Linked DNA regions of Rhinolophus ferrumequinum. The main gene of each other region encodes a partner of the protein of the gene in region 3 in a complex. Links are inferred from orthologs where the notes say so. Each region holds a gene or a part of one and is shown on either strand. Other genes may lie near its edges.

Region 1 (6,981 bases), on a different chromosome or scaffold from region 3:
GGCTTAGTTGGAAAGTTTATCATTACTACTATGCAAAATACTTATCCACTTGCCAAATAATGTTTAATGGCAAAATCCACTACCACCGAAGATTAAATTCCTATAGAGATCAAGAAAAGAAGCTTATAGGCATACTCACTGCACCTTCAAAAACTGTTTCCTTAAAGACCCAATTTTTGGCAATAACCACCAAATAAGTCTATAATATGTATTTTTAAAACAATTGCAAGTAATAAAAAAAAGCATTTATGGTTTTATCCGAAGTAAAGAACTTTGGGATAAGTTAATCCTGTATTTCAGTTTAATCAGGGACAGTTTCCAGGCATTTAAAGCCTTATTAAGAAATGCCAAATTGAACTGGAAACAAATATTCAAGGCTGTTACATAATAAAACATCACTGATTCTGAAGGACACTCTGTGTACTAGCAGAAGTTACAAAGGGAAAGTAGGGGCCAGAAAAGAAATTAACCAAGTATATCAAGACTATAACTGGTTGTTAAACGATTTTTGTGTTTGAAGTAATCTGACAAAAATATCTTCTATCTCTGAGGAGAATGACAGACAAAGTAATTCAATTTTTGCCCCGCTTAACATTCAAATGGAATAGTTTTCAAAACCTTTTATGGTTCTCTGGTGCCATAATTTCTCACAATCCCATATATTTGGCCTCCATATCCCCTGCCTAGAATACCATTCCTGTATTTGACCAGTTCCTAATGACTTTTCAGCACTTAGTTGATGCTTTGTCTACTAGAGTAGAGATAACTCGACTTTTGTTGAGTTTAATCACAGGAGAAATTTTTTAGAATATGGATACCCACTCATTGACCTGAGCCCTCTCTGCAATGAAGCAAGGCATCTTAATTTTTTTTTTATAGTATTAATGTTGCATATTCACTGCCCTATGGATGTTTTTTACCATTTTTTTCACCCACTCTTTCCCCAACCTGGTTAGGAGCCCCATATGGGACTCCCTTGGTTCCCTGTAACAGAGGAACACAGTATCACAGGGCATCATAACTAAATTTTTTTTTTTTTGCAAATTATCAAATACCTTTTAACTTACGAAATTCAGAAATGATTTTTATTAATAGTCTCAAAGGACATTCAAAAAATTTTCCCATGAACATGCCAGTAAATTTTTTTTAATAACAGAAGGTCTTGACTATCTTATAAACTACCAAGAAAATCACACTGCACAGTAAACAATTTGATGTTCTTGAAAATACTTTTTCACTTTACAAGAGGTAACAATATGTGCTTTTGTTTGGATTTAACTCTGCATTTTGACACACTTTTAGAAAAGCCACAAAATGCATCCTATACTAGGAACAAAAATATTTAGTATGAATTTGTGATCATAGCCTCTGAAATTTCAAAAGTCGCCACAATATTTCTCCAGTCCTGTAAACTCAAAGATATAACCCCTTGTTTCCTGCCATAGGAACTGGGATCATTTCCCTCACTCACTTGGTTAATATTAATTGGCTCTAATATTGGCAGCCTGTCTTGGTCAAGCCTTATTCTTGCGAAACCATCCCTTATAATGAAAGAAACATAAAATATATTCTCCACGGTACGAGAAAAAGAATTTGGATCAATCACAAACTCAAAATAGGACACAGGAGTATCAGGATACTTTCGAAAGTACGTTTGCAACAATCCCAGGATTCTTTCTACTTCTTTTTCTGTCGCTTCTTGATTATTACTCAAGTCCAACTTCCTCAGTTTTACAGGCATATCCCTATTATCTTCCATTCTGTGAGTTTTTTTCTGGTGCTCACGTCGGGGCTTTCGGGCAGAAGACTCTGATTTGAATGAACCAAAAATAAAGTGGAATGTTCCAGCTTGCAATATCCAGGATGTTGCTTCCTTCTGTATTGTCTCCCAGAAGGAAAGAGCTATATTATCATCACAACCACTCAACGCATTACGTCCATTATCTTCCATCAAGTTTAGTCCCACAAATATACAGAGAAAGTCACAAAATGCTACTTGATTAAAAAAGCGCATATCACAGTTCAGCTGCTTGGCTTTTTCTTTACCCAAATCAGAAGCCAGAACAAGAAACTGGGCATCGAGAGCCGCTTCTCTTGTTCGGCTCACTTCATCAAACAGGACATTGGCTTCTTCAAGAGCCTCGCTCAACGAGTCGCTCGCTGTGTTCACTATGTCTTCACGGTTCTGTTGGACGTTGTAGATGAGCTGCCGGTACTGCTTGCGGATACTCCGGCACTTCTCCTCGTCAGCCTCAAGCCCCAGGAGATTTGGATCTATGTCGGCCTCTCCACAGCTGAGGTCGTCAGAACAGCCTTCAGAGCAGCCATCAGCCCCCACCGCCACTTCCACCTTCATGGGATCTGCCTCCTCCTCCGCCTGCTTCACGGAGTACGCACTACTGGTGATGTTCACCACCCGCTCCTCTCCCTCCTCTATGCCTCCCCGCAGGGAATCTTTTTCGTCAGACATTGTCAGTCAGTAAGCTCCGGGAGCGCTCAGCTAACGGCCTTCGCAACGGTTTCGGACAGCGGCGGAAATTGAAGGGGTCAGTCAGAGCGGAGGAACCTGTTCGCCCATGCGCACTGGTGACACCGCCGGGAGGCCCCGCCCCCAGCTCGCCCCGCCTCCTGACAGCCCCACCTTGCGGAGCCCAGGTCTTGTGCAACACGTTCGCAAACAAGCCCGTGGCGCACAGGACGCACGCAATAATCGGTCCGAAGCCCACACTCATACACCCGTTTAAGCGATAGCTAATTGTTTTAGCGTTAACTGACAGTATCATCTAGCTTTCGAAGAAACACTTGGGCAATCTATGACAAAATTGTGAGGAAACTAAAGGTCCTGTGCTTTAAAACTTGCTGTCACATACTGCAGTTAAGTCGACCTTCGTTTTTTATTCTTAGTGATTAAGAAGTGGGGTCTTTTATTTTTGAGAACTAAATCTGGCTAGATTATAAACTACCAGTAGGACCAAGGATCGTGACATGCAGAACTCCCATTACAAATAGGCCACCAACTCTAAGAGTTCATTTACTAGTAGATGGTTGTTTGGAACTCAATTCTTCATTATACAAATGTAAATTGCGTCAATTACCTTCCCGGGCCCTCAAAAGCCCAATCCCCTCCAACCTACCCCATGGAGTGGAGGGCATCACTCGTGTGTGTCACTGCTAGAGCAAGCTTGAAGGTGGGGAAGGAACGTATTACTCAAGCGATCTTTGGTTCACCACCCAAGGGTGAACAAATAAAACAGGTACAATCTCTACAAAAGAGCTGTTTATTTGGAAGCTTGCCAAAGGCTAAAGACCACAGACTGAATGGATAGTAAATCTGAACCCTAAAAGGTAAGCAAAGCAATGAAGATTTTAAACACAATCTGTGATAAAGCTATGAAAGCAAATGCTGTAAATCAGGTGACTAATCTATACTGGAAACTTCACCTACTAGTTGACTGGGAATTCTTGTACAGTTGGAGAGAGAGAGCTTAGCTTAGCAGTCACACAGGCAGCAAAGTACAGGTAACACTGGAACAGAATATATTTCATTTTTAAAGAGAATATGCATTCTCAACCCGCAAGACCAGTTTTTAACCACTGCAACAGGTGTTCCTTTTAAAGGAGAGTCCGAGAGAGGGAAAGTGGGAAAGGGGGAGAGGGGAGGGGGGATGGGAGAGGGGGCGAGGGGCAGAGGGGGAGGGGAAGAGAGAGAGAGGGAGAGAGAGAGGGAGAGAGAACACACCACACTTGACCTGTCAGCTCTGGTTTCAAGGCACACGGAAGTAAATTAGCCCTACCTTCCTTCCTATGCATCTAGACTGGTTCATTTTTCTTTGACATTAATAGAAAGTTTCTTGCAAATGCATAAACAGCAAAACCTGTTATTAAGTTATTCCAAAATATTTACATTACTATTGTGCACCATTATTTCTTTAAGTAGGGGTAATTCAGGAAGAAACATGCATTTTTCAAAAACACCATGCGCTATGGTTACTTGTGCATATATACCTATTATCCTGCCATTAGACTGTTAGCTTCTCTAAAGCAAAAACTTGGTTTAAATCTTCTAAGCAAAGCTGTTTTCACATGGATGCATTTGACTATGCACATTTAAATGCATACGTTGTAAATGAATGTAGTTTTTTTTTTTAAACTTTGTCCCAACACCTCCTACAAGTTATTTGGCAGCAAAAAATTTCAGGTTAGTTTAAGAGATTCTCAAAATGAAAATAAAAGTTGACTCCTTTTCAGAAAGTCAACCTTATCCCTTCTCTGAAATACAGAAAAAGTAAGAAAAAAACAAAGTTGGGATCCAGGATCATCAAAGGACCACATTTTCCCCCTAAGTCTGCCCAATTACAAACTAATATTTAAACCTGTTTTAAATCTAAGAGGAAGAGAGTTAATCCCTAATCCCAAATCCCAAAGAGTTTGCTTTTATAGTTAACTGTATCCTTAGGAGCTTCTGATATCCACTTCAAATTCAACAAAAGCAATTTATAAAAGAACTCCAAAAGATAAGCCAACCTTCCCACCCTAAGGTGCCTATTTTCTCCTGCATCAGAAGAGGGAGAACAGGCTGATACCAATTTGCTCCATACAGAGCCTTTCATCTAAGAATTTCGAAACGCTTCAGAAAAATAATTCTCCTCACCTACTTATAAAGTATTACTAATACTATTTATAGGGATTTCTCAGGAGATAACAGCCCACACAACTTGCTTGAAGCAACAGAACATATCAAGACAAGCATATTATTAAGTTGTCGTTTCTGTGCTGAGTTCACTCTATACTAGATCCCTGTTCTTAAGAATCTTCGTAACATGTAACTTCTGTCATCCTCAGAAACCAGACTTGCATATCCCACATTCTTAAATCTGCCTTTAGAGCATAAGGTTCATATGTCATCTCAAAATAAAATCTCAAGTCTAATGATTTTCCTTCATCATTTAAAGAATGGGATTTCTACACTTGTGCATCTTTAAATCACTAAACAGTGGCTTTCTAACCTACGGTCAAATTACTAGTAATAATTATATAAATGCAGCTTAAAAAAGGAACTACAACACACAATTTCAGTTATACTGGTAAACTGCTCTATGACTTTTAACAGAAAGCAAAAGTGCACTACTACTTCAAAGAAATCACTAACATCTACCTTCTTCATGCAGTAAGACGACTTCAGACAACCAATGGCACACAGCTTGGCCTCCAACATAATTTAGCTCCTCTCCACTACTTTGTTCTCTTTCAGGGGATGTTGCCAAAGGCTAAATAAGGCTCTCCATTTCCGTTCTTCCTTTCCTCAGTTTTTCTTCCAGTATTATTTATCAGTCCTTTGCCAGGAGTTCAGATTCATTCATTCCAAGCATTCTTAAGCTCTTTCCCACAACTCCCAGTGCTCAAGCCAAATGTGATGGGATGGATGTCACAGATCACAGGTCTCTCTCTTAAGCCAAATAAAAAAAGGACTCACATAGAGTCCACTATCTTTTCTAGTGGGATTTTTATTGCAGGATTAATCTACAACAAGAAGATGTTTAATCTCTTAAAAGACTTCTGAGCCAAACCAGGAACAAGTCAGGTAGGATCCCCACACTCTAACAGACTTATTGCTGTTAAGCTACCTCCTCAACTTCTTTATGCCTTCTTTCATATCAGTTTTTCTCTCCTCATCCTTCCAAGGTATCTATTTAATATTTAGTCGTGAAGAGATGTTGTAAAAGTCCTAGTTTGATTTATCAAAGTAGCAGGACGTTAGGTATATTTTCTTTTTCATCTTAATTTCCTTTAACGTTATATTTGTGCGTGTACATTTTTGCTTTGTTTGGTTTTGGTTTTTTAGTATTAAAGGTAAACTTTGCTGTGATTAAGGCAGGTATCTGTGTTTTTCAAATGAGTGTCTGAAAAGACCATGGCCAATGGAGGCAAACCTGGTTCCAATCTTGACTTGCTAGCTATTAGAGTTATCTTAGGCAAGTTGCTTAACCTCTTAGCCTCCAGCTTCTTCCTTTGTAAGATGGGAATACTACTACTTATATCATAAAGTTACTGTAAATATTGAATGAGAATTATGTGATAGATTTGACAATATTTTCAGCTGTTGAGTAGGTACTTAATAAATCTTAAATTATCCCAAAGATAGCAAATGGTTCATAAACATTAGACACCAAACAGAAACACCTATGTACAAACCAGTAGCTTCACTCTTGGATGTTTCAGGAACAGAAAAATATTTTAAAGGTTAAATCCATAAGGAGTAATACAAGAATGTATCTCACTTAACAAATCACAGTGAAAAGAAATTTGCCGTGTAAGAAAATTTTAAAACCTAAAGCTTCAACTAATGAAAGTGTGTATAGTTACTTTGAAGAATAAAACTCTCAACTAGATATTCTGAAGCAAGCCCACCAAAAAATCTGCGACTATATGCAAAACTACATGTGCACATTTTTCTCAGGAATGGGTCCTTGGAGTTCAGCAGATTCTTTAAAAACCCAGTGTCCAAAAGAGGCTCTGAATAACTATTCTATTCAAATAAGATTGCTTTATTGTTAGTGAAATAAAAGATAAAATGGCAATCAAGTCCCACAAAACAATTTGGAGCCAGTCACTGAAATATTTCAGAGTATATAAAACCTCCACCCTTGCCCGTGGTCAAGTCATAGACTTAACTGTCACTTCAGAAAACCCAGTGATGAGGACTTGCCAAGCCTCAAGAACTATTGTAAACAAGGGTGTGAGATGAGAACAGAACGCTTCAGGTTATAAGAGCAATTATCAACTCTCTTGGGACACCTCAGAAATCAGCAATGACCAAGAGCATCATTTTGACAGACCAGGGGTCGGAAAGCACTGGGATGTGGTTTTAAAGGGGCAGCTGGGAAGGAACTCAGCTCTGGAGGCCTGGATTCCCCAATCAAAAGCAGGGCTTTATTAGTTTCCACTTATTTTCCTCATTTGTAAAAGGCGGCTATTGTATAT
Region 2 (7,770 bases), on a different chromosome or scaffold from region 3:
ATGGGGAATTCACATACGTGTAAAAATTCCAAAGGCAGCGAGTTCAGATCGGGTGCTTTGCAGGTAATTTAGGAAGAGTGGCACACTCTCGGGAGGTAAATTGTTGTCAGGCTACCCAGAAAATAATGGGACATGGGGGAAGGGTGGTCAGCAGGCTCCCTGGGCGTCTTCCCGCCTTATGCTAAGGAGTTTATGCCAAGGTTCCCTCCCTAAACCTGCTCTTTCCATCTGAATCTCTTAGGCAGAAAAGAGGGAGGGTCAAAGGTTCTAAATGAGTCTTTTGTTTCCTAAGAACCAGTTTAAAGTCAATTTGCCCCAGGGCAAAACTTCTGGTCCTCTTCATTCCCACCTTTGAAACTGTAATAAAAGTTTCACGTCCAGAAGGTAAATTGGTAGATTGTTACATATTTCATTGAGCTAATCACTCAGTCCTGAGAATAACTTAGTTTAGTTAAATTGTCGAATCTTATTTCAGGACCCAGTGATGTAGATACACTCCCAAATTTCACCTTTTATTAAATATCTGATTACTTGCTTATGTGGGGAAGACTTTCCTCTACCCCCAGGCTTCTGACTGCTGTAATAATCAAATAAACATGAAACAGATTATCAAGAGGAAACGAGCAGATTTAATACATACATATGGGAACCCTGCACACAGGAGAGTCAGGGACCCCACATGTAGGAGACGTAGGGAGATAGAAAAGGAACAGGGGTAGGTAAGACATCCCGAGCTAGGGATGAAGTGAGGTCTCTTGGGGGCTCGAAAGGGTCTCTGCAGGGTGACGACAAGAGCATGAGGATGGAAAAGGGGCCACAGGTGAAACCTGACAAGCTCAGGAGACTGAAAATAACCACGTATAGGACGGCGTGAACATACAAATTCCTAACTCAGGTGGGCCATGGCGGGAAGTCACATCCTTGGCCTGCAGCTTCCTAGACAAAGGTCAGTCTTTACCTTAAGTGAGCCTGTCAACTGTCTTTTTGCATCAAAAATAACACACCCTTTGGAATGTCAGTAATGCCTCCCTCCCCCCACCACCAGAGCAGGAAGCTGTAGAACCCCTCATTATTATTCTTCTCTGGATTCCCATCTCTATGTGCTGTGAAAAGTGCTATTAACTATCCTGTACCCACCTATGTGAAAGAAGTACCTGTCTCTCCAATTTACTTTAATCACAGAGATTTCCCTGCTTTGCTTTCTCCCACCCCATTAATCTACCACCAATGGATTTCATGTAACCCTCCTCCTTTGATTCTGTGTATAAAATAACTGCAAACCACCATTTTGTGAAGCATTTTCTCAGTCCGTTGAGATTTTGCTTCCCAGCAATTGGCATCGGTTTGGCACAGATAGACTCTTTATAGGCTTTCTCTTAGGCTGAATGTTTTTCCATGGACAAGCATGTTTCATGAATATCTTGAACCTAGTCAGACAAAGACAGATGTTCAGAGACTGAAGGAGAAGGTCAGACAGGGACAGAAATAGACAAACAATGTGGGGTGTGGGGTGCTGAGCTGCTACCAGCCCACGGTCGCTGACTGTGTGTGGGGGCTATGTGTTTGGAATCTCTCGAGGTGTCCTTGGCTGACTCGGCACTGTTTTCCCAGGTCTTCCATATATGCCTTCCATATATGCGCCCCTCCCCCCAAGACTGAAGTTCCCACACCAGGCCATCACTCTGGACCTGAGAGTGGTCCCAGCATTGGACAAGACCCCTTATGCCAGTAAAAAACTGAGGGACTGTACCCCAACCTACCGGACAGGTACAGCTACCACAGCTGTGCAGGGGGAAGCCTGTTCCAGCAAAGCTGCGCCAGGAGCCAGGTGTTCAGCTCCCCCTGCAAATGCTGTCCCCTGTCACACAGCACGTAGGCCCAGGCTCTGGAAAAGCACAGCCACACTGCCTGTTAGGAAGACTGAGCAGTGGACCCTGCTGCCAGCACTGTGTATCCTTCTCATGCCAGTGCCTGACTCTGCCCGCACTATACACAGGAATGGCTTTTATCTTGGCCTTTGGGGCCTGTCAGCATCCCTCTAGGCTGAGGGCGGAGTGGAAGGGTCACTTCCCCTCTCTGCTCCACCAATCCACACCCATTGCCACCACTGGATCAAGCTTAAAACGCAGTAAATCCAAAATTTATGTGAGTATGTGGTTTCCATAATCAACTTGATTTTCTCTTGTTTCTCATTTGTTACTCATTTCTGCTTTTGCTTTATTATTATTTCTTTCCCTCCATTTTCTTTGGGTTTATTTATTTTTCTACCTCTTAAATGGAACACAAATTTTGTTTTCTTGTTTTGTAATAAGTACACCAGAGGCTATAATCCCCCTTCTAATTACTGTTTTAGTTAGAGCACACAGAATTTATTATGTAAGGCTCTTATTGTCATTCATTTCTAAATATTTTGTGATTTCCATATACATTTTTTAAATCCACATGTATTTTTCAGTTTACAAATGCACGTTTTTTTCTTTTAAAAATGTGTCATAAAAGCTATCTACATACAAAAAGTATAAAAATATAATGAACTTCCAACCGAAGACATGAAATTCAAATGTATGCTTATAATTTTTAATTTTATTTTTCATAAGTCATAGATATACATGATAAAAAGACAAACTAGCCTGTCTTCTTGGCCCCTCCTACTGTTACTAATTTAAGGTATACTCTATTGAATTGTATGGGTTTCTTTTTGGCTCTCTTTTTGTTATTGATTTTTAATTTTCCTTTATTGTGGGTTGTGAATGTGACCTATTGAATCTGGATTTCAATGAGGCTTCCTTTGTGGTAGTCAATTTCTGTAAATGTTCCAAGTATGTTTGAAAAGAACAGATATGCAAATATTTTTTTTTGTAATGCAAACTTGGTCTCCTCAATTCCTCTCTGAGCTTCTGTGGTTCTCAGGTAAAAGACAGCCCCTTAGCCTGTGATTTGGCCCCACACTTTCTCTCTAGCCAAGGCCTAGGCAACCTCCATATGTACAACAAATTTATGTCCGTGTAGCTCTTGTATCTTTTAGGGCCAACTTTCAGAAGGACATTTGAAGTGTTACAGTCTTGTAGCAAACAGTCCAATTCGTGGCACATCCAAGTTTCCTAATAGAATCTCACAGAACCACCTGGAGAGTGGGCAGTCTTCTGAGGGTGGTCATGCTGAGGTTGGACAGTCGCCCTGTGATGGGTCACTCCCTCATTGCCAATTCCAGTCCTTACCCACTACTTGCTCCTGTCCAACACTACCACTTCACCGAGATCTCAGGCTGCTGCGCCCCTCCAGGCTGACTTCCCAGCACTTACTTACTGCCCATGAAATTCTTCATCAGTGGCATATCTTTCTTGACCTCTCCAGAGCACTGGCAAACCTGACCACACCCTGTTTCTCAAAACTCTCTACCTGTTTGCCTCTGACACCACAGTCTTGAATCCTGTCTTCTCTTTCTACCTCCTCCTTGGCCCTTTCATCCTGAAATGCCAGTGTTCCCAGCATTTTGTGTTCATGGTCCTCGGGGTTTTTTTTCCCCCTCTATACTCCAGGAAAACACGGTGCATTACAAAGGGACAGTTTCTACCAAGCTCTGAACAAGTGTGGCCTGTTGTCCCATTGCCCAATTTTACAAGAGCGGACAGACACCCCAGGGTTTTCTGTGAAATCCCTCAACTTTAAATGTTGATAATGAATTGAAAAGTGTACACAACTGTGCAGGGCAAACAAAACATGGCAGCCCAGTCCTTCTTAGGGCTGTTCTTCTCTTATTCGACTGACCCTAAGGCAATTTGTAAAGTACTTTGTTCATACTGGAAGCTCACACTTACTGAGGGCTTACTATGTGCCAGACACTCTTCTAAGTGTTTGCATGTATTAATGTATTTAATCTTCATAACAAGCCCATCAAAACAATGGTATTATTATCCCTGCTTTACAGAAGAACGAACTGTGAGGGACTACTTTGTCCTGGGTCTCAAAGATTCTGAGTGTAAGAACCTGGATTCAAATCCAGCTTGGGCTCTGGAGCCCAAGCTTTCCCTGCTCAGCCGATGATCAAACTGAGGTCCAGGGCGGTTGAATTGTCCGAGGTCACAACAGAGTTAACTGGCCTGCGGGTGGGGTGGAGGTGGGTTGAGGCTGTGGTCACAGAGATACTTGCACTCCCCGCTGTTCTGTAATTAGCCACCCCTATTCCCTGCTGCACTGGGTCCTGGTTGGCAGACCAGGGACTGGAATACAAACGATGGTAACGTGCCCATCCACTTCCACCGATAACTTCATTTACTCCTCACAACACTCCCAGAGCAGGACAGTCGCTAACATTCAATATCAGCCCTTCATGCGTGTTGTCCTGTAAACCTCACAAGCACGCTGCTGCTACGTGGGGACTATTATCCCCGTTTGACAGGAGCAACTGAGGCTCAGCGCCTCTCTGTGATTTGTCCAAGATGAGGCATCTGGTAAGTTGCAGGGCCAGGATTCTGGTCAGGATATATGACAACAGAGCCCCCCATCCTTGACCACGAGGCCACACTGCCAGTTCTACAGGTGGGGAAATCGCGGCCATGAGGGTGGCGCACGCTGCACTCCTCCTCCTCCTTTTCCATAAAGTCCCCAGAGAGGCCAGGGAAGCGCCTAAAACTGGACTTGACAGATCGATCCTGCGGCACCACGGCAACGGCGCGGGAGGGGTAACGGGAAGTGCGTCATCGAGCGGGCGGGACGAACCTGCACGACCACCAATGGGAGCGTCGCGTGCTCCGCCCTGAGGGAGGAGCCGAGTCCGCTTTTTGCCAACGGCGCGGGCCCTGTGAGCAGCTCCTGGGCGCCTCCGAGGGTAACGGCGACTCGAGAACGCCGTCCGGAGCGGCGAGGGAGGCCGGAAGGTGGGGCTGAGGTCCGGGGCGGCCTGCGCATTGCGCCCAGTGCGGCGCTGAGGGCCCGGGGCCCCGGGGCTTCTCGTTTCCGGCTGGAGAAACTGAGGCCCAGAGGGGGCCGCGAGGGCCAATAGACCGGAAACGCGTCCCTCTCACAGGGACACTTTTAAACCGTGATATTAGATGAGAAGATAGTTCTTAGCATGATGTTAGGTGAAGAAAAGTACGAAATGTGTCTGAACTGAGTGCGTGCAGCCGGCCCGCGCCGACTGCTCGTCAGCCACTGGCGCCGCGCCCCGCGCCCGCGTTCTGTGCGCCGAGCGTCTCGCTGTGTCCGAGTCCACAGCCCCGACGTTAAAGCCCCGCGGCTGTCAGCGTTCAGAACCCCGCGTTTCGGGGTTTCCGGAGGAGGGTGGGGAGCCTGCGTTCTCCACAGGTTAGGCCCCACCGTCAGCGGCGTCTGGGGCAGCGTCTTGTAGTCAGTCACAACCGTAGTACCGCCGCTGAAGACACGCGGGTTTACACTAAAAGGGATAAAGAACGACCATAGATAGCCCCACCTTAGATCTGATCCAGTTTTCAAACTTAAAAGATTTGATGTTCAGACCTTTTTAGATTTGACAATTGCAGACTAGGAGCCGGGATCCTCATGTTATTATTTACTCCTATTTCTCGCTGGCGGGGGTGCCACACATCCTGAACTGCGCTTTTGTGTCGTCACCCTCTGTCTCCATCACTGTGTGTGTCCCCTTGTGCCCTCAGCCGGCTTCCTCGTGTGTAAAATGGAGTAAGGAATGGCTTTCTCATAAGGTTCTGGTGACGAGTAAAGGAGACTGTGCTGTAGCACATGGCACACGTGGATGGTTATGACTGACATCTGCTTATTCCACAAGCATTTCTGTTTGAAGGCCATTGGGAGGGCAGTGCGTGTCCGTGGTCAGCCTCCCCACTCAGTCCCTCTTCCGGGAGAACACTGAATCCTAGGACAGAACAAGCCTGTCTTTCACCCCCATTGCCCTCCCCTTTCCCCAAAGTACAGCATTGTATACCGTTCTTTACTTAGTTCTTCTTTAGTAACATTTTGGCTTAACATATTTACATAATTTTCTTCCCTTTTTAAGATATGTGACATATCTATAACAATGTAAGTTTGAAGAATGAAGATAAAACAAACATCCACCCACCATGTTAGAACATTTTCATGTCCTCACAGCCCCCGTTGAATCCTTTCTTCCCTCACCAAAGAGAACCACTGCGCTGAGTATTGTGTTCTTCGTTCTGTTGTTTTCTTTGTTGTTTTTACTGTTGATGTATCTCTGATGAATGCAGTGCATGGTTTGCTAGGTTTTGAGTTTTATATAAATGGGATCCTAACATATTTTGTGTGACTCGATTTTTGCATTTAACACCATGTATACATTAGATGCATCTGTGTCGCTGTGAGTAGCTCTACTTCATCTTCAGTGCTTTGAATTCCAAGGTCAGATTATACACACTTTATGGAGGCCGTTCAGTTGGTCTTCACTTATACTTTTTGCCAGTTTTTTTGCTCCCACATGGTGCTTTTATAAGCATATTTCCTGGGGCCAATGTGGGAAAGTTTCTGTAAGGTATGTACCTGATAGTGGATTTCGGAGGATATACAGATGAGCAGGTAAAATCAACTTGTCTGAAGTGCTTATAAGGGTTTACACTCTATGGGCAGTGGGTGAGTCTCAGCCTCGGCCATTTTAAGGATTTTGGCCTCTCTGGTGGTAGTGGAGACATTAGTCGGTGGTTTTAATACTCATTTGCCTGTTGACAGGTAGTTTGAGCATCTTTTCACATCTTTATTAGTTGTGCATTTTCTTTGTCAAATTTCTGTTGCTCATTTCTCTCACAGTTGTCTTCCCTTTGCTTTTTGTAGGAGCTCTTTATATATGTTCTGAATGTGAGTCTTTTGTGGCTTAAATGTGTTTCAGATACCTTCCAGTTTGTAGCGTGTCTTCTCTTTCTATTTTCCACTGTCTGGTGTTTTGGTGAACTCCGGTCTTTAATTTTAACAAGGTTGAAGATATCAGTATATTCCTTTATGGTTTGTACTTTTCTTATTTTTTTTTAAGAAACTCTTCCCTGTCTTTGAGTCATACAGTTATTATCATACGTTGTTGTCCAAAAGTTTCATAGCCTTTCCTTTCTTATGACCTTACTCCTTAAGAATAGAATTTCATGAGGTAAGGGTCTATTTTTTTTATTTTTCTCCCACATATGGATAATCAGTTGTTCTGCCAAGTTTTTTGAAAAGTCTGCTTTCGTTAGGAGTTCTATCTCTTCAACACGTCAAGTATCCATACATGTATGTGTTTCTGTTTCAGAGTTCTGTATTCTGTCCCATTGGTCTTATTTGTCCATTTCTATGCCATTATCACATTTTACTCATTACTCTATCTTTAAAATAAGTTGTGGTTCCTGGAAAAACAATTTCTCCTGCCTTTGTCTTCTCCAAGAAATGTCTTTGCCATTTTGCCTTTACATTTTCCATGTAAAATTTAGACTCATCTTGTCAGCTCACACACATACACATGAAGCCTGTTGGGAATTTGACTGGAATTGCATTGATTTGGTTGTATTGGATTAATTTGGATTTTAAAGTGATTGCTTTCAACATTTCATCCTTAAATATTACGTTTGCTGTAGGTTTTTGTAGATGCCATTTAGTAGATAAAGGAAGTAAGTTTCTAGTTCAAGAGTTTTTACTGTTAATAAATGTTGAATTTTATCAACTGTGAGATGATCATATTCCTTTTTTTCTTTATTCTGCTAATGTGGTGACTCACATTGATTGCTATAAGCTGCTTGTAATATCTTTCTGTAAATGTTAGTGTATGCAATTAGTTTCCCATTTGCATTCCCAAGTATTGTT
Region 3 (7,486 bases):
CCACTTCAATAACCTTATCTGATGTCCCGTAACCGTCACCTCAAACGTCACACATTGAAAACGAAACCTACCATCTTTCCTTCCAAAACCACTCTGGTAGTCTCATAGCATCACTCATCCCACTGCCCATATCAGAAACCTAAGCATTAGTTTTGAATCATCTTTGATTCTACCATCTCCTTTACTTCTACCCAAAACACCCCCACACACACACACATACACATCATCCAATCACCAAATCATGTTGGTAGACATGCAAATCTGATGCCACATGCTAAAAAAAACACAAAAAAACAAAAAAAAAAAAACAGTATCCTTTATAACTTAGCTCTAGCTTCACCTTTGTCTACTTTCTATCTCCTTCCCCTATTCGCTAATCAGACCTCTACTCAAGGTACTCTAAGTATATAAAGAATTTCTTTTAGTTTCTTGACTATTTTAGGCTTCGTTCTTTCTCCAAGTCTTTGCGCATCCTGTTCCTTCTGCCTAGAAATCTCTCCCTCCACTCCCAACCCCATTTGTCTTGGTTCTCTCATAGGAATCCTTCCTTTGACCATTCTCTTTCAGGCCATTTTGGTTGCCTAAGCCTACCCCTTACTTCTTTCCTAAAACTCAAAAGTCCTCTTCATGTGAAAATAAACAAAACCTCCCCGAGCTCTGCACTTTCCAGCCACTCTTGTTCCCCTCTTCACATCTAGATTTACTTCCTCACACACATTCCTTCTTTCAGGACTTACAAAGTTTTCTTCTTCCACTGCTTTCTCAAAGGGTCGAAGATGTTCTAACTGCTAGATGCAGGGGGCCCTTTTCAAGTCCTGTATCTACTACATTGAAATGTAGTAGGTATTTTAGAAAAGCTCTTTTCCTTGGCTTCTTTGATAATACTCTCCTACAGTTCTCCTCTTACCTCCCTGAATAGGTCCTTCTCAGTCAGTGAATTCCCCTTCTGTCTAACCTTAAATGTTGGCATTCTCCAGGACTCTGTACTTGGCCTTCTATTCCTCCTAGTTATATTTCCTCTTGGGCAATCTCAAACATTTTTGCAACTTCAACAATCACCTATATACATGCTCCCAAATCTCTCACCTGTTCACATTTTCCTGTAAGCTCCAGACATTTATAAATACTGCCTATGGAAGGTCTCTTTTAAATGTCCCACAGAAAATTTCAAGTCACAGGATGCAAAACGCATTTATTATCATTCTCTGCAAACTGATCCTCTTCAGACTAGCACCATACCTGACCAATTAGCCATTGCTGCATTCCTCTTACCCTCATGCTTCACAATTAATTTGTAGCCAGATCCTGTCAAATCTCTTTTCTTTCCGCTCCTACTCACCATCTGCTACTCATAGGTTCAAACCCTGGTTATCGCTTGCCTTCATACTGTAAAAATCTTGCCTCCAACCTTGCACCCTTTCTGAAGCATCTTTCATTCACACTGTTCCCAGAGCAATACGAATCACATGCCATTCCCTACTTAATACGCATACTGGTTCCTTAGGGAATGAGGCTGGAATTCCTTAGCATAGTAAACTGAGAGCCTCAACAGTTGCCTACCTCTTCAGTATCACTTACGTCCACATATTCACTCACAGCCTGCGTTCCCGCCTACTAAAATACTCGATGCTTCCTAAAGATAAACTCGCAGGCAGGTCCTTCTGTCCACAGTGCACTTCCCTTCTTTTAGTACTTTCAGAACCTCCGTACAAAACCCTCTCTCTCAGTTGTGGAAGATATTAACTTCTTCCTTTGTGTCCCCATGGCATCCTGATACATACACTATTACGATAAGGAACTTATGTGATGATCTTTCCTGATCTGGATTCAAATAGTAATTCAGGTACCTATTAGCTGTGTAAATGTGGGCAAATTAATCTCGCTGAGTTTATCTCATCAATGGAAATAATACAAAGAGTTGTTATTAGCAAAGAATGAAAGCACTGTATAAATAAAGCACCTATTTCTATACCTGGCACATGACAGGTGCTTGAAAAAAATGGTGATGTTGTTCTTGCAATTCTGTTTCTCCTACACCACTATGTGCAAGCTTAAAAAAAAAAAAAATCCTCGACCAAATGAACTAACTGTAAGGTGCTATAATAACACGGTATTTTTTTATTGAAACATATTACTAAATCCTAAAATGATTATTATGATTATTGTCTGAAAGGAGAGAGAAGAGACCAGGAAAGAAAGATGGATTTGTAGGTGTCAAGAGTCCGTTGGGAGGCCCACTAATGAGAGTATTAATTTTCTTGTACATTTCAACCTCTATCCCGCAGAACATTCACCATTTATCCATGGCAACTTCCTACTCTTTATGAATCTGCCACATCATCAGTGTCACTCTGTTGCTTCTTTCTTGTGTATCCCCAGGGCCCATAGTTTTGAGAATTACAAGTTATGTCCTCCCTCTATAGGTCGTGATTTCCAACGAGCAGAGATCTAATCCCTACTATATCCACTGCCCGCCAAATGACGCCTTCAACACACGTTGGTAGAATAAAAAATTAATAAAACAACAACCCGCATCCACAAGACACACACCTAGCACACCAACACAAACGTCAATCTACACAGCCTACGAATAAAAATCCTCACGGTAACCACGACGCAAATTCACCGCCAGACCCACAAGCCAGGGACACATCCACCCACCCACCCACACGTACGCAGCGTGCACCCCTCGGGCCCGCTCCCCGCCCCCGCCGCCGCACGGCCTCCCGCCACTCACAGGAAGTTCTCCATCGCGATGCGGACGATGGAGCCTTCCACGAAAGGCCCGGCCGGCAGTGGGGGCGCAGAACTCTTTCTCTTGCTCGGGACCTCCGACGAGGGATCTCTCGGGGCAGCTCTCTTGGAGGCCAGGGGGGTTGGAGTTGAGGTCTTCCCACTCGGAGTCGCCATCCTGGCTTCCCCTCCGCCCCGTAGCGGCTTCCGTTCCCACCAACCTGCAGCCCCCACGTCCCGCTCCCGCGCGATCTGCCAGGCGCGGGATGCCGCCCGAGAGCCGTCCCGCGCCTGCGCAGTCACGGCCAGATGGCGTCAGCGGGCAAGCCCCGCCCTGGGCCTGGAACGCCTGCGCGAACGAGAACGCAGGTGGCTGGGGGTGGGGACTAGCGGGATGCTGGTCTCGGCCCTTTCTCTGTACCTTCTTGCATTTTTTCAGGGTTTTTTTTTTTTCCAACTTAAAGAAAGATGTCAATTACAGTTAGGATTTTGAAAGCTCTTTTAGCGCTCCAAGGAAGCGGATACTCGAGGGGAGAGAGGCGTTTGCGGTGGCACCTGGGACCCAGGGTCGGGGACACCAAGGCGGGCACGTGCGACCAGCCTTGTGCGCGTTCCGCCTGAGTGCCTGCCTGCCCGAGTGCACCGGGACTCGCAGGTCTTTGGCTCTTCGTGTTCTAGTTTGCTTCCTGTTTGCTTTCAATCAGGTCCCCGTGTTAAAAAAATGAAAGAAAACTCTTCCAAATGGCTCCCTTAAAGCATTATGCTAGGTCTCCTGCGCTCTATAACTTGTGAAAAGATTACACCGCACTCCCCCTTCTGTACTTTCCACCTCTCACTCCCTAATTCCCCGAGCTAGAATGCCCTGGCTTCACTTAAAGCGTACTGTCTCTTAACCCTGCTCACATTCATCCAGTAAACATCTAGTAAGTGCATTAAAGATGACGTGCAGTGAGATCTTCATTCACTCAACTATAATAATTAATGCCTAACCTACAAGAGGCTGGGGCTGCCGGCAGTAAAGGAGCCAAAGTTGCGTGTTTGCGAGCTTACGTTCTGGTGTGGGAGACAAAAAGAACAAGCGAACCAACTGACGATCACGATCATTTCTGGCTATGATCGGTGCTATGAAAAACAACCCAAAACAATGACATGGGATGGGGGAGGCACGGAAGACCTGCCAAAGGAGGTTGACGTTTGAGCTAAACCCTGATGGAGTGGGAGCCAAATGCGTAAATAAGCAAAGAGCAATTACAGGCCAGCACAAAGATGTTGGAGGAACAAAGGCCGGCGTGGCTGCAGTGGAGTAAACAAGGTTGCAGAGCAGAGCCTTGGCCATCATAGCACAGCTGAATTTTCAAAGCAATGGGAAGCCATTGGATGGGTTTAAGCAGGAGAGGGACATGATCTAGCTAAAGTTAAAATGACCACTCTGGTTGCTGTTTGGAGGGGTGAGAAGGGGAAGTGGGGAAGCCAGTTAGGAAGCTAATGCAGTAGAACCCTGATTTCTGACTCCTGGACCAGTGCTCCTTTCCCAGGTCCCTGCTTCTTCCTTTCATGCAAATGGAACCCCCGCTCTCTAAAAGTTATAACCAAAGAAAATAGAACGAGTTAAAAAGCGTGTGAACTTGTCAAGGTTACTAGACATTTTTAGAAAAGCAAATTACAATAAGAATAATTTTAAAACTGTTCAAATGCCAGGAAATAAGAAAAATACTCAGTGTTTAGGAAGGCACTATACTGCCCTTCCCTATCTTGCTAGTACACATTTTTTTAAAAAGTAACTTCGGAGGCGGCCGGTTAGCTCAGTTGGTTAGAGCGCAGTGCTCTTAACAACAAGATTGCAGGTTGATTCCCAACATGGGCCACTGTGGGCTGCGCCCTCCACAACTAGATTGAGACAACTGCTTGACTTGGAGCTGATGGGTCCTGGGAAAACACACTGAAATAAATAAAAAAAAAATAAAGTAACTTGGGACCCTGCTTCAAGAACCTTAGAAAAGTCTAATTCTTTGAAGAAATAACTGCTTTTGGGGGAATCTATCCCAATGGCAATTAATATAGGCCGTGGTAATGGGAGTTGAGGGCAGGGAACCAGTCTGATTATTTTTGTACCATCACCAGTTTTTTAGTGAATTAAATTGTGCTTATAAACGTGAATGTTGAGAATGAGCCCCTGAACTTGTGATGACCCCACAAATATACATACACTATGAGTTCTTGTCTAAACAGCCATCCAGTCATGATCTGCCACCATCCTCTAAAAAGGAAAATGTTACTGGTTTTGCTTCTTATTGCAAAAGTAATACATGTTATTAAACACAGAAATTTGGGGAACACAGAAAACACACATATGCAAAGGGAAAAATCACTCATAATTCCTCTACCCAGCCTAATCACTGTTAAGATTTTGGTGTATCTTTTGATGTCTTTATACTAGTATGTGTACGGTACGCTCCTTTCATTAAAAAAAATCAGGATGATACTGCACAAATTGTATTATACATACTATTATTTTATCCCATTTTCTCACTGCATATATTATGAATATCCTTCCATGGCATTAAACATTTTTTCTGTGACATAGTTTTAAGTAGCTATGTAGTATTCCATTAAACAGATGTACTGTAACTGATTTAAGTACTTCTTCTTTCTCGGACTTTATATGACTGGAAGTTAACATGAACCCAGGATACTCGGGAGACTATAGAAGCTCACTGCTTCCTAACATTCTTTAAAAATTTTATGCACCTGTGAAAATATACACATTTATCTTGCCACATGTGGATTCTTTAATTCCACTGGCGAAAACTGTCTTGCAAAGGGTGGTGTTAAAGATGCAGAGGGAGAAGTTCTTTAGAAAGATTATCAATTAACCAGAATGTGTCAATGAGTGAGTGAGCCATTGTAGCTAATCCTACACTTCTCAGGGTTTAAATTCCAGTCATAAGCTGAATTCATCACCCCATCTTTACTAGCTAATAGATCTAACAAGGCAATTATATTTAACTTTCTACCGACCGAGGAGTAAGTGACCAGGGGCCATTTTGTATGAAGGCCTTCCATTCTACCGAAACTTTAAAACTGATGCAAACAAAAACTGGCAGAAAGGGGCGGGGTCAAGGATTATAAATGTATTTCACTTCACCATCAAAACACCATCTTCTGTGTTCTCTTTCCTGGCTTCACATCAAGTCCTTGATAATGGTGCCACAGTAGCAAGAAGCTGGGGCAAGATGCATGGAATGGGACGCTGCTGAGACCATCTCGGACTGAGACAGTTCACTACTCCAGTTCTAAGAAGAACCCTCCCAGGTTAACAAGAATAATTTCCTCTGGCTTATATACCAAGTGAGAGGAAATACTACTTTTGGGCCAGTTCATAAAGTGGAAAAGTGAACCCTCATGGCTTGAAAGAGAGGGAAGGAGCAGATACTAAAACCTAAGACCTTGGCACTCAGGAACAACCCCTGTTCCCTGCTCCCCCAAACTTCCCATCATACACTCTTTCTAACAGACCTAATTAAAGACCTCATGGGGGAATATCTAGGCAAGGATGAGGGATTCTGGGGAGAATCAGCACCCTTCCTCAGGGGAACACAACCCCATACAGCAAGCTTCTGCTAAACATAAGGATACCTAGTCTCTAAAGTTTTTAAGTTTTTAAGTTGTTTCAAACATCATAAAAACAATCAAAATATGTGGTTCTTACTGTAGTAATATTAGTAATAGCTAACACCAACAGCATTTCCCATAGACAAGCTACTGTTCTAAGTACTTTCTTATAATGCATTTTCTATTCTGGATCAAAGTCTCAACAGATTTGCCTCTTTCCCAAATTTCCATCTCTTGGATACAAAAACCAACTGAAAGATAAAATCATTAGGAACCAGTATCAGGGTTTAAGTGTTCTTTGTGATGTGTCTTGATAGAAAGCCTAGAGTTAAATAGGCCTTCATTTCTTTTGAGAATATAAAATGGGAAAACAGTATAAATTGCTCCAGAAGGAATTTACCTTTAATTTCAGAAAGATCAAGAACAAGGTGCTAAAGCATTATGTGTCATCTTCTCTGCAAGTCCTTGCAAAATGAATTGACAGTCCTTGCCCAGGCTAGGTCTGGAGCATCTGGGGGAATAGCAAGCATTTCCCCTCACACCTTGTTACTTCCCAAAGGAAAGAAAGTTGGTAATTGTTCAAACTGTGGAGAATCTGTTCAAATTAGCTGCATGAATTATAAAATGAGTCCTTTGATATCAGTCACCAAGAGTGACGTTTCATCTCAGCATTTCCACAGGCTGGGGTGCTGTTGAACTCTCCCATAAACTTGTTGGTTTTAAATTCTCACTTCCACAGGTTTGATTAGTAGCCATAAAATTCTTTTTATAATTAAAACTGTACTTGTTTTTTTATTATTTTAGGAAGTTTGTCATTCAAAAAGCACACAGCAGAAACTAACAACCGTACATCCATATTTGTGCATTCAAGAATTAACACCGTTAACTATTTGGCATGATTTCGTCCAGTATTTTTTCTTTAATCAACTTTTAAAAAAATTACACAGGGAATATATGAATATATTCTCCTCTTAAAAATGAGAACAATGCAGATAAAATTAGTGTGCAGTTGACATTCTTTTTCTTAATCTTGATCCTGCACTCCTTATCCCCTAGTTAACTACTCCTAGATACTCGTTCAGTGTGTAATGTAATGTCCTTTAAGCCCATTTTTATATTTTACATGCATTTTAACTACAGA
Region 4 (7,842 bases), on a different chromosome or scaffold from region 3:
ACGATCCAAAAAGGTTTGACAGAGGACATGAGATTTAAGCTAAGCTACAGCGAGAAGAGATTTAAATAAAAGGAGACAAGAAGGAAACCTGAGGATGAAGCTTGGGGAGGTGAGGGAAGGGTCCACTGGAGGACACAGCCGGGCTTAACAGAGACAGGGTAATCAGACCCCTTAGGAAACGGAGTGTGAAAAAGTGCTCTGGGACACGTGCAAAGGCAAACTGAAGAGGAAGGCAAGCAGAGATGAACACAGCAAAGTTCAAGCACAGAAATGCCTATGCCGGGCGTGTTCCTTGAGGCCATTCCATTAGATCACTGATTTCCAGAACAATCCTCAGGCTGCTGACCGTGCTGACTCCTGTGTCTGTGTTTAGAAGTCACCTTCCCCCCCTCAGTTTTATTTCAGGAGAGTGCAGAAGTGGCAAGGAGTTGAGAGCATGAAGCACAGGCAGACGCCGGTTCCCGGGCTGTTCTAGATCCCCCTCGCCCATTTGCCTCACAGCACGTACTGTAAGGAAAGAGCTCTGCCGTGGATGGCTCTGAAGGCCTCTACACAGATAAAACTGAGACCATCAAATCCACGTACACCGAGGATCTAGAACTCTGTTTGCTGACCAACTCCTCGGGCCCAGCTGAGTCGATCATTTTGCCATAAAGAGGTAATACAGTCAGTACAGTGGAAATAGCCGTGTGGGGAAATGGTATGTAGATCAAGAACTATCAAGATGCACAGTAAAGTATCAAGGGAATGAAAGAGTTGAGGGTAACCTTGAGGAGACTCACTGGGGGTCCAGGCTTGGGAAAGAAAAGGCTAAAGAGGGTAGAGGAGGGATTTGACCAGGTAAAAAGGAAAGGCTGGTTCTGGAAGGTCTGGGTGAGATGGAGCCAATCGGTAGACCAAGATGGGGAATGGTAAGGAGGTGCGGTCAGAGTAAGAAAGACAAAAATCTAAGTGCGTATAGACAGAAAAATGTTAAAAGGGAACAGTATTAACCATACTGGCGAATGACCAGAAATAACTGTTCTGGTCTTCAGAGAACAAGAGGAATTGTGGTATCCGGCAGTGCAAGTTCTGTTGACTCTTCTTTACCGCTGCACTTGTCCAAATTCTCCCTTTCTGTTCCCACGGAACTGTCAGAAGGGGGCCTGGAAGGAAAGCGGTCTGACCACTTGTCCTAGGGCTGTGACCCAGGCCCTACATCAGGGAGTACCCTGACCTGTCCTCTGTCACTGAACAGACTGCTGCTACCATCACTGCTGCTGCTTTTAACAAAGTCATGATTCTTTTTTAAAGCCCCCTTACCCCATGGTCTATAGCTCAGTGCTCTGAGATTTCTCTCTCTCTGTCATGCACATACCCCCCTGACTGGAGACCAACAGGTCCACCTGTAGACATGGCCACCCCCACTGGGTTGTAAGTGGACCAACAACAGCAAGGAGCTGAGGGAAGGGAGATCGGGAGGACGGCAGGAAAAGCAACTGGAAGTCAGGGGTCAGCTCAGTTCTTTCTTTAACTCATCCATTCAACAAATGCATGTATGTATCCTGGGAACACAGCAGTAAATACAACAGAAAGATCAAAGATAATACATGTAAAGTTCTCAAACAACAGAACAACCTGAGTGGCTCATAAAAACAGATTGCTGGCCCCACCACCAGAATTTCACATAAAAAAGCCCTTAGTATTCGCTTAAGGAATGGTAAGTGCACCATAAAAGTGACATTTAGTATTGCAACAATGAAGCGGTTTCCAAAAACTAGTAAAGCACTATTATTATAAATGTGGGAATTGTTTGATGTCAAAAATTTGGCTCTTATATAAAACTAATTAAAATGATCCTAAACGTCTAACAACAAACTTCCGTATATAAAATAATGAATTACCTTCATTAAACAGAGTGTTGGCCTCTTCAAGGACCTCTGTTAATTTGTCGCTGGCATTCAGTATATCCTCCCGGTTTTCTATTTTAAACAAACACAAGCTATTTTACAAAATACGAGCTTTGGGAAATGTACTCATCGTTCAGTAACAAGTCATTGACAAAGTGATCACCAGCTCCATATCCAAGCCCCGCCCCACGGCAATTACTTCAAACATCTTTATCTTTTCAACCAAAAAGGTACAGAAGAGAAAGGTGGTCTGTACCCTTTAAGCAACATGAACTTTAAAAGGAGACCGGCTCCACCTCACCTTCACCCAAAGGGCTGACTCCTTGAAGCCTTTAAGGAGCGCTCCTAACAGAATGGTTCTCAAACTTTGCAAGCCACACCAGCCCCTGGAGAGCCACACAAGAGATGGGCGGGCCACGCCCGGTTTCAGATTGCATTTGCATTTCTGACAGTTCTCGGGTGCCGCTCCTAGGCGGGCGACCACTCCCGGGAACTGCAGAAAGCAAGAGGGGAGCCTAGGCTCCACGTCCCACCTCTCCTCCTTCCTCGCCGTCTGGGCTCGGGGAAGTCACCGACCGCGCCTGGCCTCCAGAGGTGCCGTCCTGCCCAGCGGGGACCTGAGCGCCCCTGCAAACGTCGTGCAGCCCGATCGACACCACGGATGTGGGCGCACTCAGGGCACCCACCGAGGCGCGGCCGAGCCCGGGGCGCCGCTGAGCAGCCGGGCCGCGCAGGGCCTGCGTCTGGCACCTGCCCCACCCGCCCCGCGCCCCGCCTTACGTTGGACCGAGTTGATGAGCGCCCGGTACTGATGGCGGATCTGGCGGCACAGGCCGTGGTCGGGTTCCTCCTCCAAGCTCGCCGGGTCCACCATCTCGTCCCCGGAATCCGACGGCTCTTCCTCCTCCAAGCTCGGGCGCTCCGCGGCCTCCCTGCGCTCGGGCGCGGCGCCGCGGCGGGACACGGGCGACAGCGGGGACCGCGAGCGGGAGCGGGTGCGATCCCGGTGCGGGTCGCGGCCCCGGCCCCGGCCCCGGCCCTCGGGCCGGCGGCCGCTGCTGTCTCCGGACATCGCGCCAATTCCCGGTGTAACTTCGGAACGGCGGAAGTTCGCGCCAGAAACTGAAACCCCTGCTCGGCGCGAGCGCCTGTCTCCACGGAACGCGACTCCGGGCCGGCGCGAGCGCACAGCGACGCCTGTGGCGGGAGGCCGGCGGCGGGGCCAGGCGCGGGCGCAGGCTGAGAGCGCCTCCCCGCGGCGCCAGGGGTGCCCGGGTCCCCGACCGGAGCCTTCCGCTCCCTGACCTCCGATGTACTAAGATCCCACTTACGCTGTAAAGTGGTGAGAATCTCGGTTGTGGGTACCCCGTACCCACCGCACTGGGCCTTAGCTCCCCAGAGTCTCTGGCGGCCCGGCACACAGCCACAGGCTGGCAACGTCCTGGGCACGCAGCGCATATTAAACACCATTTAACCTTCCCTTCTAACTGTCTGAACCAGGACAGTTTATGTTCATAATTGGATCTCAAGCTAAAATATTTAAAATACCTTCGAAAGGATTCAAGAAAGGGTCCCTAAATTCTCTTTGGTGCTGAGAACACATTTTTCTCAAAGAAACAATATTTTAAGTTGAGTTACTACACAAGGCTACAAAAATGCCATTTTTGTACTATTCTCTGTACAAAATGTATATATAGAATGTATACTATTCTCTGCTGCTCAACAGCAGATACCTTGCCCCGCCCCTACTTCCCTGGATTTCAGGAAAATTACGCTCTGGTGCCTGCTGCCTTAGAGGAAGAGGGATTGGCCTAAATGAGTCGTGGTAATCTCATCCCCGTTCCCGAGTGACTGGGCTAGCGATGGCCGTGTGGTCCAGTTCTGGTCAGTGAAGTGCGATGGGGCTTTCTAGCTGGATGAAACATAAGCCTCTAGAAAAGAATGTCTCTGTCCCCACCCCCACTCCTTCTTTGAGGTGTTATCATAAAGACATGGCACATGGCATGATGCAGCCTTCTGGTACTCATGAGGTGACAAGTGTGAGGAAAAACCAAAATGCTGAAAACAGTGGAGAGAAAGACGGCCATGGCTGAATTGCTGAGTGAACTGCCTACCTCCCAAGTCCTTGTTAAGCAAGCCATAAATAGCCTGTGCTTTACGCTACCATTAATTCCTCTGTAGTCGGTACTTGCAGCTCAATGCATTCAAATTGAAACAAATATTAAGCATTCTTCTCGGTGGAAGCTGTTTCAAGCTCCAGCCAAACAGACCTGGAGCATGTCCTTCAATTCAACACGTCTTGGTATGTGCTAATGGGCCAGACAGCCTACCAAGCGTAGTAGGTCACAAAGATGGCTCAGAGACTTCCAGGTTCTTACCGGGGGACAAACACGAAACTGATCCTAAAATTTACATGGAAATGCAAGGGACCCAGAATAGCCAAAACAATCTTGGAAAAGGACAAAGCTGGCAGGGCCCACACTTCTCAATTTCAAAACGTACTACAGAGCTATTGTAATTAAGACTGTGTGATACTACTGCCTCTTCCTTAGCAAAAGGACAGACATATAGATCAATGGGATAGAATTTAAAGTTCGGAGATAAACCCATACCTCTATGGTCAATTGATTTTCAAGACAATTCAATGAGGAAAGAATAGTCTTTGCAACACATGGTGGTGGGCAATTGGATATTGAGATGAAAAAGAATGAAGTTGGACCCCTCTCTTACACTATATACAAAAATTAACTCAAAATGGATCAGACCTAAAGGTGAAACTCTTAGAAGAAAACATAGGTGTAAATCTCTGTGACTTTGATGAGGCGATGGTTTCTTAGATATGACACCAAAAGCACAAGTAACCAAAGGAAAAATACATAAATTAGAGAACAAGTTTGTGGTAATTTTTTATAGCAATCATAGGAAACTAATACAGGTACCCAGGATGAGCAACAGTGGGAAGACATTACTACTCCTGGACCTGAACAGTCAGAGGGAAGAAGCAGTGTTACCAGAATCCCATGAGGGCTGAAGTCATGGAGAAGGGCCACCCGACAAGAGCTGTGATCCGAGAGGGGATGCAGCCATGCCAGGAAAAGAGAAAGTGCAGGCTAAAATACCCTGGTCTCTCTCTCCCGACATCTTCTCCCCTTCTTTTACCTCCTATTAGCTGAGGCCTGCAGGACACTGGAGGACAAGGAGAACCTGTGTGATGCAGTTTATATATCAGTCTCTGGGCAGAGCTGGGCCAGGAAACATTGAAATGGATTTGAGGTGGGTATTGAGACAAATGCAGGACAACCAACATGGTGGGTAAAGGGTATATCCGGGTCTATTCAGCAAGGTATAATAGCAACCCCACTACAGTGCCTTAGCCAAAATAGTGACAACATTTCTTGTGAAACTGGAAGTCTAGAAGTAAGCAGTCCAGGATTGGTGCATTGGCCTAATGGCCTCAACCTAGAAGTGGCACATGTCACTGCTGCTCCTAGCCTATTGGCCAGAGCTGGTCACAGAGCCCCAACCTAACTGCGAGGGAGGCTGGGAAACATATTTTTTGTTTCTCTGTTTCCCCATCCTTTCTTCTTTACCGTCAGAGTCCACTTTCCATCATAGAGACCCAAAAAACCCACGCCACATACTCTCCTTCCTCTCCTCTTTCCTTTGTGTCTGTGGCAGGGAATGTGGCCTGATTGTGACCACAGGATGAAGGACAAGTCTATTGAAGGCCTTCTAAGAAATGTTTTCTCCACTATAAAAATAGACACCAAGAGAAAATGCTCCTTTTTAATCCAATATTGTCATGTCCACATGGGTTACTCAAAATGTGGCAGCCATCTTGTGACCATGTGAGGACAAATGAAGAAATTAGCATTCCACGGCAGCAAGAGCCCAAGTCTTTGATGACATAACCAAGCTGCTAAGCCAGCCCTTGTCAGGGGCAGTAATCAATGTCATTGCTTCAACCACTTTTCATCACATGTTCTGTTGTTTGTAGAAAAACAAATAATGCATTTATTTCATGCTTAAATTTTCTAGTACCAAAAAAAAAAAAAAAAAAAGAATCTCAACTTGTGCAGCCAGATGGATCCAGAAAGTAGGAACTATGCCCATGACGAGAAAGACTGATTAGCATGGAATATTAATCAGAAACCAAGAGTGTTGCAGATGATGAAGCAGAGAACAGAGTGGTGAAAGGAGCTGACTGTGTAGGCTCCTTTCCCAGGAGCTGACGCCTCTGGATTACCCTCCTAATTAAAATGACATGACAATGAGAAACTGCAAAGTGAGGAGTAACCCGAAGGGGGGATATCTGGTAACCAGGACTAAATGAACACCCGGCAGAGAGGAGAGACACAGGAGAAGAGTTTGAGATAGGGCAGGGTTGGAGAGAATGGGTCCCCTGGTGTCACGGAATCGCTGCCAGGCTGCAGCTGGTGACCAGCTCTCTTGCAAATCAAATGGGAAAACATGTAAATTCTCAGGTGAGAAACAAAGTGTATAGTAGTTCTGGCAACATCGCTTCTAGGGAAAACAGCCAACTACAGGTGGGATCCTTCTGGTCAGATCTGATTTGGGGCTAGGAATTCTGGATTTGTGGGCCGTGTGTGTCCGGGCAAATCTGCATTAGAGCATCAGCAATGCATTTATTGCGGCTAGTGTCATAAACACGTCCCTTGGTGTAATTCAATATTCAATATGTCTCTTCGGAGATCTCATGGCTTTTCATCTGTCAGGCTCCCAGGAGAAATTGGAAGTTAGTAAAAACTTCCAGCACCCTACTTGTCTGCTAGTTGCTGCTGTACTAGTGAATCTGTGATGAAAAGCTGCCTCTTGTCTGGGTCCTTCATTTACTAGTGATACATGATCATTGAGTGCCTATTATGTGCTGAGCCACATGCTAGATCCTGGAGACACTAAAGACAACAAAGTCCTGCACTCGTTTGGGGAGAGACTCAGACATGAAGCAAATGAAAACAAAGATTTCTATACAATGGCCGCTGTGTTAAGGGCTAGGACAGAAAGGACTAGGAACTAGGCAAGAATTTTGACCTAGATGGCAGAGTCAAGATCATCCAGCTGAGATGGGACGGAGCACAGGATGCGAGCACAGGCAGGGCACAGGTGCGGACGAGAGCAGAGGACTGGGCAGCTGGAGCATTAGAGCCCGAAGCCTGACGCTCCGTGTTCAGGACCTGCTTCATTCAAAGATGAAAAATAATCACAAATATGTCAGATTAGACACTCTGAGGAGTCCCCTGCTGCAAAACAACCAGCTCCTACATATACCACAACTTGTATATACCCAGCTGGGCTCTGAAAACAAAGAAATTTTCTGCAGGAACATAAAAGGAAGCTAAAGTGGCAAGAAGGGAAAATGTCAGGAACTCCAGGTGGGCAGCTGCTGACGTGGACAAGCTGCAGTTCAGCTCAGAGGTGGCCGGCGGCATAGGGCTGAATATCAGCAGGTCTGTTCCACAGACTCTTCAGCTGGAAGGCAGGCATCATGTGCCCATTAGATGCCAGGCTCACCAGAGTGAGCAGATATCCAAGATCCCTGCTGTCACAGGCAGACACCAGGCTGCAATCTTATCAGGGAAGGAGACAATAAACAAGGAATAGACAAGTAATTTCAGAAGGTGGTGATATGAAGAAATTAAAAAGCGTATTGTGGTAAGGAATTATTATGCAGTGGGGGGCTAACTTTAGCCGGGGGTGGTCAAGGACGCCCTCTCTGAAAAGCTGACATTTCAGTGAAGAACTGAATAATGAGAGGGCGTCAGCCATGCAACCTTCTGGGGGATAGAACTTCCTAGATCTAGAGGCTTCTCTTTTTTCCCAAGCCTTTACTTGGAGTCTAGACACTGATCCCAAAGATTTTGAGAGGAAACAGCCCAGGACTGGGACATGCCTACCTTTATCGTTGAGGCCTCTGGGTCAGGGTGCCCAAGAC

The links.
Region 1: SMC5 (region 3) and EID3 share a complex: the UniProt entries of both Homo sapiens proteins name them as parts of the SMC5-SMC6 complex. The link is inferred for Rhinolophus ferrumequinum from reciprocal best matches to the Homo sapiens genes SMC5 and EID3.
Region 2: SMC5 (region 3) and NSMCE1 share a complex: the UniProt entries of both Homo sapiens proteins name them as parts of the SMC5-SMC6 complex. The link is inferred for Rhinolophus ferrumequinum from reciprocal best matches to the Homo sapiens genes SMC5 and NSMCE1.
Region 4: SMC5 (region 3) and NSMCE4A share a complex: the UniProt entries of both Homo sapiens proteins name them as parts of the SMC5-SMC6 complex. The link is inferred for Rhinolophus ferrumequinum from reciprocal best matches to the Homo sapiens genes SMC5 and NSMCE4A.

What each region holds. Positions count from the first base shown.
Region 1 is NC_046293.1:15,688,256-15,695,236, forward strand, and holds EID3 (EP300-interacting inhibitor of differentiation 3), read right to left. Parts: upstream 2,561-6,981; 5' UTR 2,471-2,560; coding exon 1,343-2,470; 3' UTR 512-1,342; downstream 1-511. UniProt on the Homo sapiens protein: Tissue-specific component of the SMC5-SMC6 complex, a complex involved in repair of DNA double-strand breaks by homologous recombination.
Region 2 is NW_022680357.1:19,109,143-19,116,912, reverse strand, and holds the start of NSMCE1 (non-structural maintenance of chromosomes element 1 homolog), read left to right. Parts: upstream 1-4,764; 5' UTR 4,765-4,877; intron 4,878-7,770. UniProt on the Homo sapiens protein: RING-type zinc finger-containing E3 ubiquitin ligase that assembles with melanoma antigen protein (MAGE) to catalyze the direct transfer of ubiquitin from E2 ubiquitin-conjugating enzyme to a specific substrate.
Region 3 is NC_046295.1:36,824,440-36,831,925, reverse strand, and holds the start of SMC5 (structural maintenance of chromosomes protein 5), read right to left. Parts: upstream 3,016-7,486; 5' UTR 2,911-3,015; coding exon 2,738-2,910; intron 1-2,737. UniProt on the Homo sapiens protein: Core component of the SMC5-SMC6 complex, a complex involved in repair of DNA double-strand breaks by homologous recombination.
Region 4 is NC_046299.1:8,115,728-8,123,569, reverse strand, and holds the start of NSMCE4A (non-structural maintenance of chromosomes element 4 homolog A), read right to left. Parts: upstream 3,008-7,842; 5' UTR 2,962-3,007; coding exon 2,670-2,961; intron 1,962-2,669; coding exon 1,884-1,961; intron 1-1,883. UniProt on the Homo sapiens protein: Component of the SMC5-SMC6 complex, a complex involved in DNA double-strand breaks by homologous recombination. The complex may promote sister chromatid homologous recombination by recruiting the SMC1-SMC3 cohesin complex to double-strand breaks.